2 linked regions of the Macaca mulatta genome follow. The protein of the gene in region 2 interacts with the protein of the main gene of each other region in a biochemical or structural test. Links are inferred from orthologs where the notes say so. Each region holds a gene or a part of one and is shown on either strand. Other genes may lie near its edges.

The links. The genes of interacting proteins can lie anywhere in the genome.
Region 1: the proteins of SP1 (region 2) and DDX5 form a complex in vitro, tested with the Homo sapiens proteins (2 studies listed by BioGRID). The link is inferred for Macaca mulatta from reciprocal best matches to the Homo sapiens genes SP1 and DDX5.

Annotation. Positions count from the first base shown.
Region 1 is NC_133421.1:74,401,881-74,408,131, forward strand, and holds the start of DDX5 (probable ATP-dependent RNA helicase DDX5), read right to left. Parts: upstream 4,350-6,251; 5' UTR 4,120-4,349; coding exon 4,076-4,119; intron 4,054-4,075; exon of another isoform or gene 3,791-4,053; coding exon of another isoform or gene 3,747-3,790; intron 2,874-3,746; coding exon 2,708-2,873; intron 2,352-2,707; coding exon 2,255-2,351; intron 2,147-2,254; coding exon 2,013-2,146; intron 1,902-2,012; coding exon 1,836-1,901; intron 1,600-1,835; coding exon 1,458-1,599; intron 1,377-1,457; coding exon 1,216-1,376; intron 1,130-1,215; coding exon 957-1,129; intron 602-956; coding exon 491-601; intron 279-490; coding exon 217-278; intron 129-216; coding exon 69-128; intron 1-68. Other genes in the region: CEP95 (centrosomal protein of 95 kDa), read left to right, coding at 5,123-5,141. UniProt on the Homo sapiens protein: Involved in the alternative regulation of pre-mRNA splicing; its RNA helicase activity is necessary for increasing tau exon 10 inclusion and occurs in a RBM4-dependent manner. Binds to the tau pre-mRNA in the stem-loop region downstream of exon 10.
Region 2 is NC_133416.1:60,524,973-60,531,274, reverse strand, and holds the start of SP1 (transcription factor Sp1), read right to left. Parts: upstream 3,989-6,302; 5' UTR 3,950-3,988; coding exon 3,943-3,949; intron 3,439-3,942; exon of another isoform or gene 3,242-3,438; coding exon of another isoform or gene 3,160-3,241; intron 2,603-3,159; coding exon 2,445-2,602; intron 2,150-2,444; coding exon 637-2,149; intron 1-636. UniProt on the Homo sapiens protein: Transcription factor that can activate or repress transcription in response to physiological and pathological stimuli.

The sequences.
Region 1 (6,251 bases), on a different chromosome or scaffold from region 2:
ACTTTCTTTAAAAAAGTTAAATGGAGATCTTCTGGGAAACCAAGCCATGAATGCGAGTTTGTACTAACCTAGCCCTCTGGAGGCCACATCTGTAGCAATCAGAATAGGAGCTTTTCCATGTTTGAATTCTACAAAGGAAGGCATATACATGATCAATTATCTGAGCAGAATTCTAGCTAAGTAAGGGGGGAAAAAAACTTCATTTGAAATATTTACCATTTAGAACCCAGTCACGCTCTTGTTGACTCTTGTCACCATGGATACCCATGGCAGGCCACCTAAAAGACAAGTTGTATCATAAAACTCACATTGAAAACCTCAGACTCCAGTGCTTAACCACGTCTTGTCACAGATCTCTTTAATTTCACCAGAAATTAAAAAGAATTAAATTCACTTATATTATCAGATATCCACTGCTCCTGATCCAAGTTTGCCCTTTCCTAAGCTCAGTTACAAAAAAATCTGCTTCAATGGAGGAGCCCACACATACCCATCTCTCCTCATTTTTCTGGTAAGCTCATCACATCTTCTTTTGGTTTCCACAAAAACAATGGTTTTATTCTCCTTCTCACTCATGATCTCTTCCATTAAACGAATAAGTCTAATAATGGGAGAGAGAAAGGAAAAATCCTGAGTTTTAAAAGACCATTGGTAGGGCCCCACATTTATGGTCAGCAAAACATTAAGTTCAATTTACATGGCTGGAAGTCAAAGAGAAAACACCTGCTAACCCACTTATGTAGTAGTTCGACCCTTGGTCCTTAAGTCAACCAGGGGACACATGAATTCCTTCTATAGGAAAACTATAAACGGTGATAATCATTATTTGAAGAATTCAAGATATTTTCAGAAGGATTAATAGGCTAACTAAACGAAATCACACCAACTGAAATAACAATGATCCCTCAATTTTAGCAAGGTTAGGAAGCGAATATAACAGAGTTAATAAAACTTACTTTTCATCCTTTTCTACGTCATGACACACATCCACAATCTGAAGAATGTTGTGGTTTGCACTCAGTTCAAGTGCACCAATGTTTATATGGATATAGTCTTTCAAGAAATCTTCAGCAAGCTGTCTTACTTCTTTTGGCCAAGTCGCACTCCACATTAGAGTTTGCCTATCAGGCTAATGGATTTTGGGGGGAAAAATTAGTGTCAGACTAAAAGTGAAAATAGAATTGAATTTGATCACATATTTCAAAGGACACTTACTCTTATTTGATCCACAATCTTCCTTATTTGGGGTTCAAAACCCATATCAAGCATTCTGTCTGCTTCATCAAGGACAAGATAGGTTGTTCTTCTCAGATTGGTTTTCCCACACTCTAAAAAGTCAATCAGTCTTCCAGGAGTTGCAATACAGATTTCCACACCTTTAATTAAACACGTAAGTGTAACTATAATACCTAAAATATTTAGCACCAATAACAAATAAAACTCTCTTCATTACAGACCTCTCTCCAAATCACGTATTTGTGGTCCCTTGGGAGCACCACCATAGATACAAGTAGACTTCAAGCGACATGCTCTACAATATTCAGCAGCTACTTGCTGCACCTGTTGGGCCAGTTCCCGAGTTGGTGCCAGCACCAAACACTAAGGAAAGAGAAACAGCTTTCAGCACAAACCTGGATACTAGTTTTAAACTATTAACTTATTAGTTATGATGGCAGATCCTTTCTTCATGTGTTGTCCAATACCCAAAGCAACTCCAGCTGAATAGGGTGAGCTAACCTCTGTATAAAACCACCACAAATAATTACATCTTTTGCTATGTAGTCTAAAAATCTATATATTACACTTCTAATAAAAAGTTAAAAATATATACTTACAATGGGCCCATCGCCTCTCTCTAGGAATGGCTGATGATTGATGTGGACAATGGCAGGAAGCAAATACTATTTGGGGTGAAGACGGGGACAAACAGAAATCACATTAAAATACTCTTGTTTTTAAATTAGCATTCCGTTTTCTTGCACATATTACATCAAGAGTTCTCTCAAACTTACAGACAATGTTTTCCCAGATCCAGTCTGTGCCACTCCAACCATATCCAATCCACTTAGAGCAACTGGCCATCCCTGAGCTTGAATAGCAGTGGGTTCAGTGAAATTCTGTCTTGCAATAACATCCATGACATTTGCTATAATTAGTGACAGATATTTAACAAAAATTAGTGATGCCAAGGAAAGGAGGAGGTAGGTGAAAACAAAAACACAGGGGTAGGGTAGAACTGAAAAGTAGCACTCACCAGGGAAATTAGCTTCATAAAAATTTAGAACTGGCTTCGGGCAGTTGTGACCTCTAACTGTAATTTCCTTGCTTCTTCTGTATGTTTCCACCTCTTGCTGCAAAACAAATTATAACAGTCTTAAAGCTCATGACAACCACCCCTAACTAAATACGTAATTGGCAAGCCCGTAACTTCATAATTTAGTAACTAGTTTAAAGTAGCTTCATTTTAATCTGGAACCGCGTATGAAAACCCTATATGACAAAAAAACCGTTTATTCTGCTATACTCAATCTAAAAAAAAAAAATTCCCAAAGCCACCTATTTGCAAAAGTGAGTCACACCTTTCCCAATTACGAAGTCAGAAAACGTAACTCTACCAAAATTGAGTTATTTGCAAAACACCTGTCAGAATTTCATTTACTAGACTCCATTGAGTTACAGCCTGATGAAGCCACATGAATTTACTCACTGCTGTCCGCCTAGCCAAATCAGGGTGCTCTTGATAGAAATTCTTCTCAAACTTGGGCAGCTCATCAAGATTCCACTTCTTTTTAACTAGTTTCTCCCCAGGGTTTCCAAACTTCTTTCCAGATAAGGGCCCCGCCCTACTTCCTCCAAATCGAGGTGCACCAAACCTGGAATGAAGAAAAAAAGTTATTTACATTTTCAAATGGCTACACCTAGGTTTCTGGACAGATTTGTTTACCATCCCTTGGCACAAGCTAAAGATCACTGAAAGCCGACTTCGAGAGGTAAACCTAGCACTGTCCTTAGTGATAATCTCTCTCTCAACAGCCACAGTTAACGTTTCCCGTAGTCCCAAGTACACACAACTTAGGCCACGTAAACAGCCTGGGATTTACTATATCGAAAACTTGTCACCCAGATGCCAGAATTTAGTATTACACACCACTTCTTGTGGTTACTATTATCTTTCTCACCAGTCTAGCAATTCATTATCAGTGATAACAAGCCTACATGAACCGAAGAGCATCACAACGATGTTACTCATATGGCCGTTTTCAAGCCAAAGAGCTTTGATGTCAACAATCTAGACAGCACAGACAACGAAAACGAAACAACGGTTTAGAAACACTTCTGCTAGCAAACCGAGCTGGGGGGACGCCGCGGTAGAGCTCCGGATCAACGAATTAAAATTATATAACGCAGGAAAAAAGAAAAGGAGGAGCCGGCGACTACCGGGGGAGGAGTCCCGGCCCGGGCGGAGCCGGCCGGGCGGCGTTCCCGCTGGGGCGGCGCTTCCCCCTTTGTCTCGCATTTCTCTCTGCGCCACATTTTCTCGACGCTGCCATTTTGAGCTCCTCCGCCGGGCGGAGTAACAAAGGCGCCGCCGCCATGTCCAAGGCCGGCATTTTATACCCGCGACTCAGCCACATGGCTGATGCCGGCCGCCCTCCTACCCCCACAGCACCAGTGGCTTTGGAGGTGGTCCCTTCGCTCCCACAGAATGCCCGACCACCCCAAAAACACCTCCCGAAAGGCCGCACCTAACAGCTGTTCCTTCGTCTGCCTCGAAGCGTCGCGCTTTCATCCGAACAATGCGCTCCCTCTGAATTCCCTCAACAGCTACCAAATGGCAGCCGCCCCGACGGCTCCCCGACCCCCACACAAAAAGCGAGGATGAAGACACTATCCCGTCAAATCTCTCCCACTCACTGTTACGTGAATATCAAAATGGCGCAAGCCTTCGGGAAAGGAGGCCCCAAGATAGCCCGGAAAGGCCGAGTCCAAGCCGCAAAGCCCCGGCCCGCCGCCACCCTGACCCGCCCTCCCATCCCCCACCCGCCAGCCCTGACAACTCGGCTCCCACACTCACCCTCGATCCCGGCCGCGGTCTCGGTCACTCGAATAACCCGACATAGCGTCAATGGTTGCGGTTGGCGGGGAACGAAGTAGATAGAAAAGGGTGCGACGAGTCGCTGGAAATGGCTTCGGCGACGGCGAAGCCTTGCGGGGGCGGCAGCGGAGGAGTGACGGCGATGACACCAGCCAAAGCTGCACACCTAGAGACCGGTGGAAATGAATGAGGTGCCGGCCGCTTTCCGGCAGCCGCTTTTATAGTCTGGACCTCCTCCTACGCCGCAAGGCACGCTGGGAGCCGCTCTATGACCTAATCGCCCCGCCCCTCGCGCAGAGGCCGCAACGCCCGCCGGCGTTCCGCGATCGCCGCGCTTTCACCCCACCCCGTGCCGCTCTCTCAGGTCAGGGCCCACCCACCATTGAAATGCCTCATTCTCCACTCTCTTGACCTCACCTTCTTCTCGTCTTTCCACACCTCAAGAAAGCCACCCTGCCCTTTCCCAAGCCCAGCCAGACGATAAAACAGCCAGCCCAAGCCCGCCCACCCTCCCCACTCGGAGGTGTTTACGTCTCCAAAGAGCCCTCACGCCTGTAACCAAATGAGAGGGAAGGCGGGGGCCTGGCGTTGTCACGTGACGTTACCCCCCCACCGCCCACCGTGACAGGGGGCCGCACTACTTCCCCGTTGACGTCGGCGGAGGGATACATAACGAAATAGCTCACCGGAAGTGCGCTGCCAGCACCCGGGACCCGCCCCCAGCTGCCGGCTAACTTGGACCGTCCGACCCACGGGTCTGACAATCCTGTGACGGGTTTTGGCCGGCGGAGAATGGTCTCTAAACTTCCCAAACCGCTTCCGTGGCACGTGCTGTGAAAGGAAGTGCTCCTCTGATGACCAATCAGCGGCGAGAAGTTCTTTTAACGTCCCTCCCTCTTTCACGCCTCCTTCCCCGCGCTTTAGTTCGTGCGCCCGCCCCCCAGCGTCTGCTCTGCGTTCGGTCCTTGCAGGACACCGTCGCCGGTCTGGCAGCGTCGGAGTCCGGCGGCGACCTGCTTCCGAGACATGGCCCGCTCGGAGGCTGGTGAGTGTTTCCCTGGGGTCGCGGTGTGTGTTTACTGAAACTGTCCACCTTCAGGGAGGCCTCGGGCTAGCCCGGACTGGGTCTGGGGTGTCGGCGGGGCTCGTTACTGTCAGACGCTGCGTCGCGGTGGCGGGTTCTCTGGATAGGGTCTCTCAGCTTCACCCCCTCTTCGCTTTGAGGCCGTGGAACAGCAGTATGAGGTGGGAGAGAGGCACTGGGGCGAGGCCGGTAGGACGCTCGGGTCCTGGCTGCAAAAAGAGCAGTCAGAAGGGTCGTCCTCGGACTTGTCTTTCTGTGGGGCGTCTAGCCGCTGTCCATGTGCCCTCCTCCCTTGCACTATGGGCCCTGAGGTCGTACCTCCTTTTGTAGTGGTCTTTAAAGGAACGGCACTCTTAAGGTTTATTCATGCCCCTGCCACAGAAGAATAGTGGTGCTTTTTTCTCTTCAGTGCCCTCTAGAGTCATGGGCTTTGTCTAGCACCGCTTTTGAAGAGCGAATTAATTTGGTTGTCTAGGACGCTTTCATCCTTTTCACTAGGACTGCGTACAAACCAGTTGTCATGGTTTGGCCAGTTGTGAGAAATGGGCTTGGAGAGGGGGATTATGTGCCTGGAAGATACACTCTCATTCGTTTCCAGAACGTCATGTGTCCAGAACATAGTGGAGATGTTTGTTTCTAATATCGATTGCCAGTGCTTTCCTACCAATCGTCAGGCATTTCAAGGAACAAGTATTTTAAGCTAAGTTGCTTTTGGTAGAGAAACTGTTAAACTTCGCAAATCCCAGCAATATCTAGGGGAGAGGAGAATGTGGTATGCAGGAAACGTCAACAGTATTGATAATTCTGAGCTTCATGTACTTCCAATATTTTGTTTCATGTAGATCAATATAATAAAAAAGAAAAACTAAGAAATGCATTAGTGTTGATGTTGTCATTATGCCAGTTCTTAACAGCCTAAGTTTAATCACCACTTATTTGGGCACCAGAGAAATCCTGACTTGCACAAGATAATTGGGTAAACACATGACCAATACTGTTGGGAGTTTGAAGCAACATATTTTATTAATGACTGTCTAGTAACTTCAGATTATTATTAAACTGTTGCTTATG
Region 2 (6,302 bases):
CCTGTAATCCCAGCACTTTGGGAGGCTGAGGCAGGTGGATCACCTGAGGTCAGGAGTTTGAGACCAGCCTAGCCAACACAGCAAAACCTCGTCTCTACTACAAATACAAAAATTAGCTGGGCATGGTGGCGTTTGTCTGCAATCCCAGCTACTCAAGAAGCTGAGGCAGGAGAATCGCTTGAACCCGAGAGGCAGAGGTTGCAGTGAGCCGAGACTGCATCACTGCACTCCAGCCTGGGTAACAGAGCAAGCCTCTATCTCAAAAAAAAAAAAAAAGAAAACAGAAAAGAAAACGTGACCACATGAGGCCCACAAAGCCTAAAATATTTACTATCTGGCCCTTTACAGAAAAAGTTTGTCAACCCTTATTCTGCAGCACCAAAAACACTGAGTAGTACACAGACTCCAAAATATTGCCCAGAAGTGCTCCTTTCTCATCAAACTAACTGGAGAAGTTTCCTTTACTTCAGTTCCAAATTACTTAAGCAGAATCTCTATTTCTCAAATTTATTTGCCTATATGACTAGCCCTCAAGAAAGTGTTATCTCAAAAAGCTCTATTCCCTTATTTAGACTCAAGTTTCAGCTAAGATGCTAGGGTTGGTTCCCAATAAATGCAAAAGATCGGAAAGCTTACCTGGAGCATTTGCTATAGCCAACGGCAGGCCTTGAATTGGGTGCACCTGGATTCCTGAAGTACCCAATGCACTGAGGTTAATGGTCTGGAGGCCTGGCATGGAGGAGAGTTGAGCAGCATTCACAGTGACTGTGCCAGCAGGAATGGAAGCAGCTGAGGCAATGGGTGTAAGAGTGGTGCTGCTGCTGCTGGTCTGTCCCAAAGAAACACCCTGCATTGGGGCTAAGGTGATTGTCTGGGCTTGTGGGTTCTGAACTTGGAGGTTCTGCAGCTGTAGAGTCTGCCAACTGACCTGTCCGTTGGGCCCCACTGTTGGTGTCCGGATGATGATGGGACCAGAGTTTGGAACAGCCTGAAGCTGGAGGTTCTGGAGGGTTTCTTGGGAGATAGCTTGAGTTGTAAAGGTCTGCCCTGACAATGGTGCTGCTTGGAGGGCCTGGAGGGCCTGTCCCCCTTGAACTAGCTGAGGCTGGATAAGAATTTGTTGCTGCTGTGTCTGCTGGTTTTGCTCTCCTTCTTTTTGCTGACCTGCTTGCAGTGAGCCTCCAGATGTCTGGTTTTGCTGGATGTTCAGAGCATCAGACCCCTGTAGCCCACTGACCCTCTGGGGTGTCTGGCCTTGAGAGTTGGTCCCTGATGATCCACTGGTAGTAAAGTTCATAATTCCCATGTTGCTGGTGGTAGTAGTAGTTGAGTAGCTATTGGCATTGGTAAAAAAGGAGCTGGAACTGGCTTGTGATGACACCAAGCTGGCAGAACTGATGGTAGTCCCTGAGGTGACAGGCTGTGAGCCGCTCTCCTGGGACCCAGAGCTGCTGATGGTGACTGCCTGAGAGCTGGGAGTCAAGGTAGCTGCAGAAACGCTGTTGACAGGTAGCAAGGTGATGTTCCCATTCAGGGCCACTGGTACATTGGTCACATACTGAGTCTGTCCTGAGAGTACATTATTAGCCAGGCCTTGGAGGGGGACAGCCTGCTGGAGTAGATTTGGCATAGCAGCAATGATGTTGCCTCCACTTCCTCGATTTGTGATAATCTGTTGGTTTGCACCTGGTATGATCTGTATTTGACCAGAACCATCCTGCTGCACTTGGGCCCCAGTGGCAGCAAACTGCAGCTGTTGCCCATCAACGGTCTGGAACTGTGGGATTACTTGATACTGAATATTAGGCATCACTCCAGGTAGTCCTGTCAGAACTTGCTGGTTCTGTAAGTTGGGAGTGGCAGCCACAACATACTGCCCACCAGAGACTGTGCGATTCTTGGAAGACTCACTGCCATTGCTGCCATTGGTACTGCTGCCACTCTGTTCCTTTGAGGTAGGGGTAGCCCCAGAGGAGGAAGAGATGATCTGCCAGCCATTGGCACCCTGTGAAAGTTGTGTGGCTGTGAGGTCAAGCTCACCTGTTCCCCCTGACTGACTCGGGCCCTGGGAGTTGTTGCTGTTCTCATTGGGTGACTCAATTCTGCTGCAAGTTGCTGCCAGCAGAGCCAAAGGGGATGGCTGGGACTCCTGGCCAAAAATAAGGGAGAGGAAAGGAGTTAGTGACACCCAGCTGCCAGCCTAGGGGGCAGTATACAACAAATAAACAGCAACGTAGTGCAGACAAGGAGCAAAAAACAGAAACAAAAAGCTGACCTATCTGTATTGCTGAAACTCCTGTCTTTGGGGATCTCCATACTCTTACTTCTTATCTATAAAATGGTTTTGATAAGCTCCCTAAAAAGCTTTCTATGAAGAGTAAGGCAATTATCTAAGAATATTTACATCCTCTCAACATCTTCCCCACTCTATTATTATCACTTACCTGCCCTCCTCCTCCTCCACTGCTGCTGCTACTGCCTGTGCTGCTACTTCGAGCCTGTGAAAAGGCACCACCACCATTACCACTGCCCCCATTATTGCCACCAACTCCTTTTTCAATCTTCACCACAGCTGTCATTTCATCCATGGAGTGATCTTGGTCTAAAACAATTAAAAAACAAACAACTTAAACTTGAGGGAAGAAAAGAGATGAGGTAGGAAGGATAAAAGGAGGCTATGATGAAATAGCAATGACTAACAGGAAGGCGAAAGGCGCCAGTATAAAGAAAATGGATTGGAGGGCAGAGGGGAGCTGCAGGGCATGCAGGACATGAACTAGGCTCAATGGTGCCAAAAGTGGGCCTCAATTCTCCCTTACACAAAATTAACTAAGAAAACATTCAAAAAGTGCTTTGGGGATAGGAAATGTGAAGGATGGTAGTCATGCTGAAAGAGTTTCAAAATAAGAAAAAGTATCCTAAGGGAAAAAAGGACAAGTAAGGCAAAAAACAATATGTGGGTGGATGGAAAGATTGCTAAAATTAAGGTTAAAAGAGATGGAGAGGCCAGGCGCGGTGGTCATGCCTGTAATCCCAGTACTTTGAGACGCTGAGGCAGGAGGATCACCTGGGGTCAGGAGTTTGAGACCAGCCTGACCAACAAGGAGAAACCCCGTCCCCACTAAAAATACAAAATTAGCCGTGTGTGGTGGCGCATGCCTGTAATCCCAGCTACTCCCGGAGGCTGAGGCAGGAGAATCGCTTGAATCCGGGAGGTAGCAGTGAGCCGAGATCGCACCATTGCACTCCAGCCTGGGCGACAAGAGCGAAACTCCCTCTCAAAAAAAAAAGAGAGAGATAAACAAAAACCCAAGTATTAAAAGTAACAAGAGGAGAAGGGAAAAAGAAATAAAAAGTTTTAGTAGGAAAACATTTGTGAATACTACTAAGGAACTAAAGGGGTGTACTGGTTAGTAGTCAGGAGGTTTCGGGGCGGAGGGCGGGCCCTGAGGGAAAGGGCGGTTTCGGGGTGAGGGGCGTGGAAAGGGCGGGACGGTGGGGCGGGGGGAAGGGAAATCTACGGAAAGTGGGGGGAGGAGGGCGCCGGAGCAGGCGGCGACCAGAGGACGGACCAGACAAGCGGTTGGCCCGGGCGGGGCCTTCACTGCTCGGGCCGCCCCCGCGGCTCCAGCCCCCGGCGGGAGGAGCCTCAGGCGGGCGGCCGAGTAGTGGGGGGTAAGGCCCGTCCCCCGTGGCCGGGGCGGGCAGGGGGCGGGCGAGGCCACGCTGCCCCCTCCCCCGGGGCGGGCGGCCCATCCCCCTCCTCCTCGGAGGCCCAGCCACTGCCCCGTCTCCCTCCCTTCCCTCCGCCCCGGGCGGGACCTAGGCCGCCGCCGCCGCCTCCCGCCCGCCCCCCCTCACGGCGGGGATCGCCCGGTCGGCCCTCGCGCGCGCCCCCTCACTCGCCTCCCACCCCTAAGCTTGGAGTGGACTCATCCTTACCGCTCATGGTGGCAGCTGAGGGACAAGCTCAAGGGGGTCCTGTCCGGGGGGGTTGGGGGGGGCCGGGAAAAACGCGGACGCTGACGAGGCAAGCGAACCCGGACCGGACAGGGAGGGGGGGGTGAGGAGGAGGGAGCAGCGCGCCACCAGCCCAACCTATGCCCCGCCCCTTCTCTGCTGCCCCGCCCAATGAGGGAGGGGGAAAGGTGGGACTTGCAGAAGAAAGACGGTGAGGTTTTCCAATGGCAAGACTCGCTTGCTCTCTAAGGCGTGTAAGACTAAGTTGCGTGCCTGGTGTCCGCCCAAAAAGACAGCCCTCTCAGTGTTAAAAGCCAATGAAAGATGCAGGAAGTGAAGATGGGCGGGAGCTGGGGATTATTGGCTTGGAAGGAAACCAGTCAACCGGCAGGCGGGCTCCCTGAGACATTGGGATAGGGAAAGGTTTGATAGGAATGACAGAACAACGGCCAACTAGAATCCGGGATATGCTTGGGCAAAATCCTAGTGGGAGGAGAGGTAAGAAGTAGACAGGAATAGGATAGGCTGAAGCTGATTAAAACCAATCAGAAATCAGGCGGGCAGCCAGGAAAGTTATGATTGGATTAAGACTGAAAAAAGACAGGAAAGGACGCATATTGACGTGAATTAAAAGCCAATTAAACGCCAGATTAACTCTGAGGGCGGAAACTTGGAGTGGCAGAGGAGAATTGGCGGCTCCCTAAGTTATTCAATCCAATGAGGGAACGAAGTAAGCCTGGCACCGCCTCCTAGTTGGCCAATGGGCGTTACCGGAGCCGCCCATCATGAGGGAGGGAAGAGGGCTGTGCCAAGAGGAGACCGTCGCCATATTGGCCCACCTCAGGGGACGTTGTTACAGTCATTAGGTGGGACGCTTTAGTGAAGTCTTGCAGCTCAACAGGTGTCAGAGCCAAGGCATTCGGCGCGCAGTTCCGCATCAACACTAGGATTTGTTTGAGTCTTCATTTAACTGCCCCTATAAAGTACCTCTCAAATCTTACCCGTTTCCCGGGTGGGCGGACAGGCGGGCAGATACCTCAATGTCGCTGCAAGCCCTGCGAGTGCAGCCGGAACGGGATTTGGGGACAGCGCTCACCAAATAAGTTAATACTGAGCTGACCAATATGCAGAGTCTCCGTAAGATTCCAGAAAACGCCATTTTGTTAAGTTCCGCCAGACAAAGGCGCTAACCACTTACGACTGGTTAACTTTTCAAGCTTTGAGGCTAAAGTGCGGATAAGTCACTTCCATTTTTCCGAGTTAATAGTAAATACCGCCTATGCATAAAGCAAGATAGTTGAGCTCCTGCTTTTTGCAATCACGAAGGTTAAACTTTACTGCAGGCACCTGGATTTCTGGCCTCCTCTTTATCCGTGTTTTGGTGGAGCCGGCCTTGATAGCTTGTCAATGACACGATAAGGTCATGTCCTTCAGTATTTGTATCTTAAATGTTGTCGCTTGCTTGTATGTTCTTATGTTTTAAAATCTGAATTCTCCTATACTATTTTAAGCCCTTTGGAGTTAAGAACTGAGGCCTTGGCCGGGCGTGGTGGCTCAAGCCTGTAATCCCAGCACTTTGGGAGGCCGAGACGGGCGGATCACGAGGTCAGGAGTTCGAGACCATCCTGGCTAACACGGTGAAACCCCGTCTCTACTAAAAAATACAAAAAAAAAACTAGCCGGGCGAGGTGGCGGGCGCCTGTAGTCCCGGCTACTCGGGAGGCTGAGGCAGGAGAATGGCGTAAAAACCCGGGAGGCAGAGCTTGCTGAGATCCGTCCACTGCACTCCAGCCTGGGCGACACAGCGAGACTCCGTCTCAAAAAAAAAAAAAAAAAAAAAAAAAGAACTGAGGCCTCTGATGCTTTAGACAGGTAAAAAGGTGAAGTAATTGCTGACTGCCTACAGTGTTAGGTGCCTAAGTCAGGGAGGCAGTTGGTATTTCGTGTCATCCTTATCAGGAAGATGTTATTAAGTATTAGCTATATTATGTATTTTATAAGTGAAGACATTCAGGCTGAGAAGTGACTTACCCAAGGTCACAAAGCAAATGAGTCGTAAGTGTTAGATTCCAACCCAGAATAGTTCCACAAAAAGTTTTCTGTAGATTCTTCAGTGAATTAATGCTGCCAGGCGCAGTAGCTCAGGCCTGTAATCCCAGCACTATGAGAGGCCGAGGCGAGCGGGTTGCTTGAGCCCGGGGGTTCAAGACCAGTCATGGGCAACATGGTGAAACCCCGTCTCCACAAAAAAATAACAAAAATTAGCTAGACATGGTCATGTACGCCAGTAGTCCCAGCTACTCAGGAGCCTGGGGTGGAAGGATCGCTTGAGCCCAGGAGGT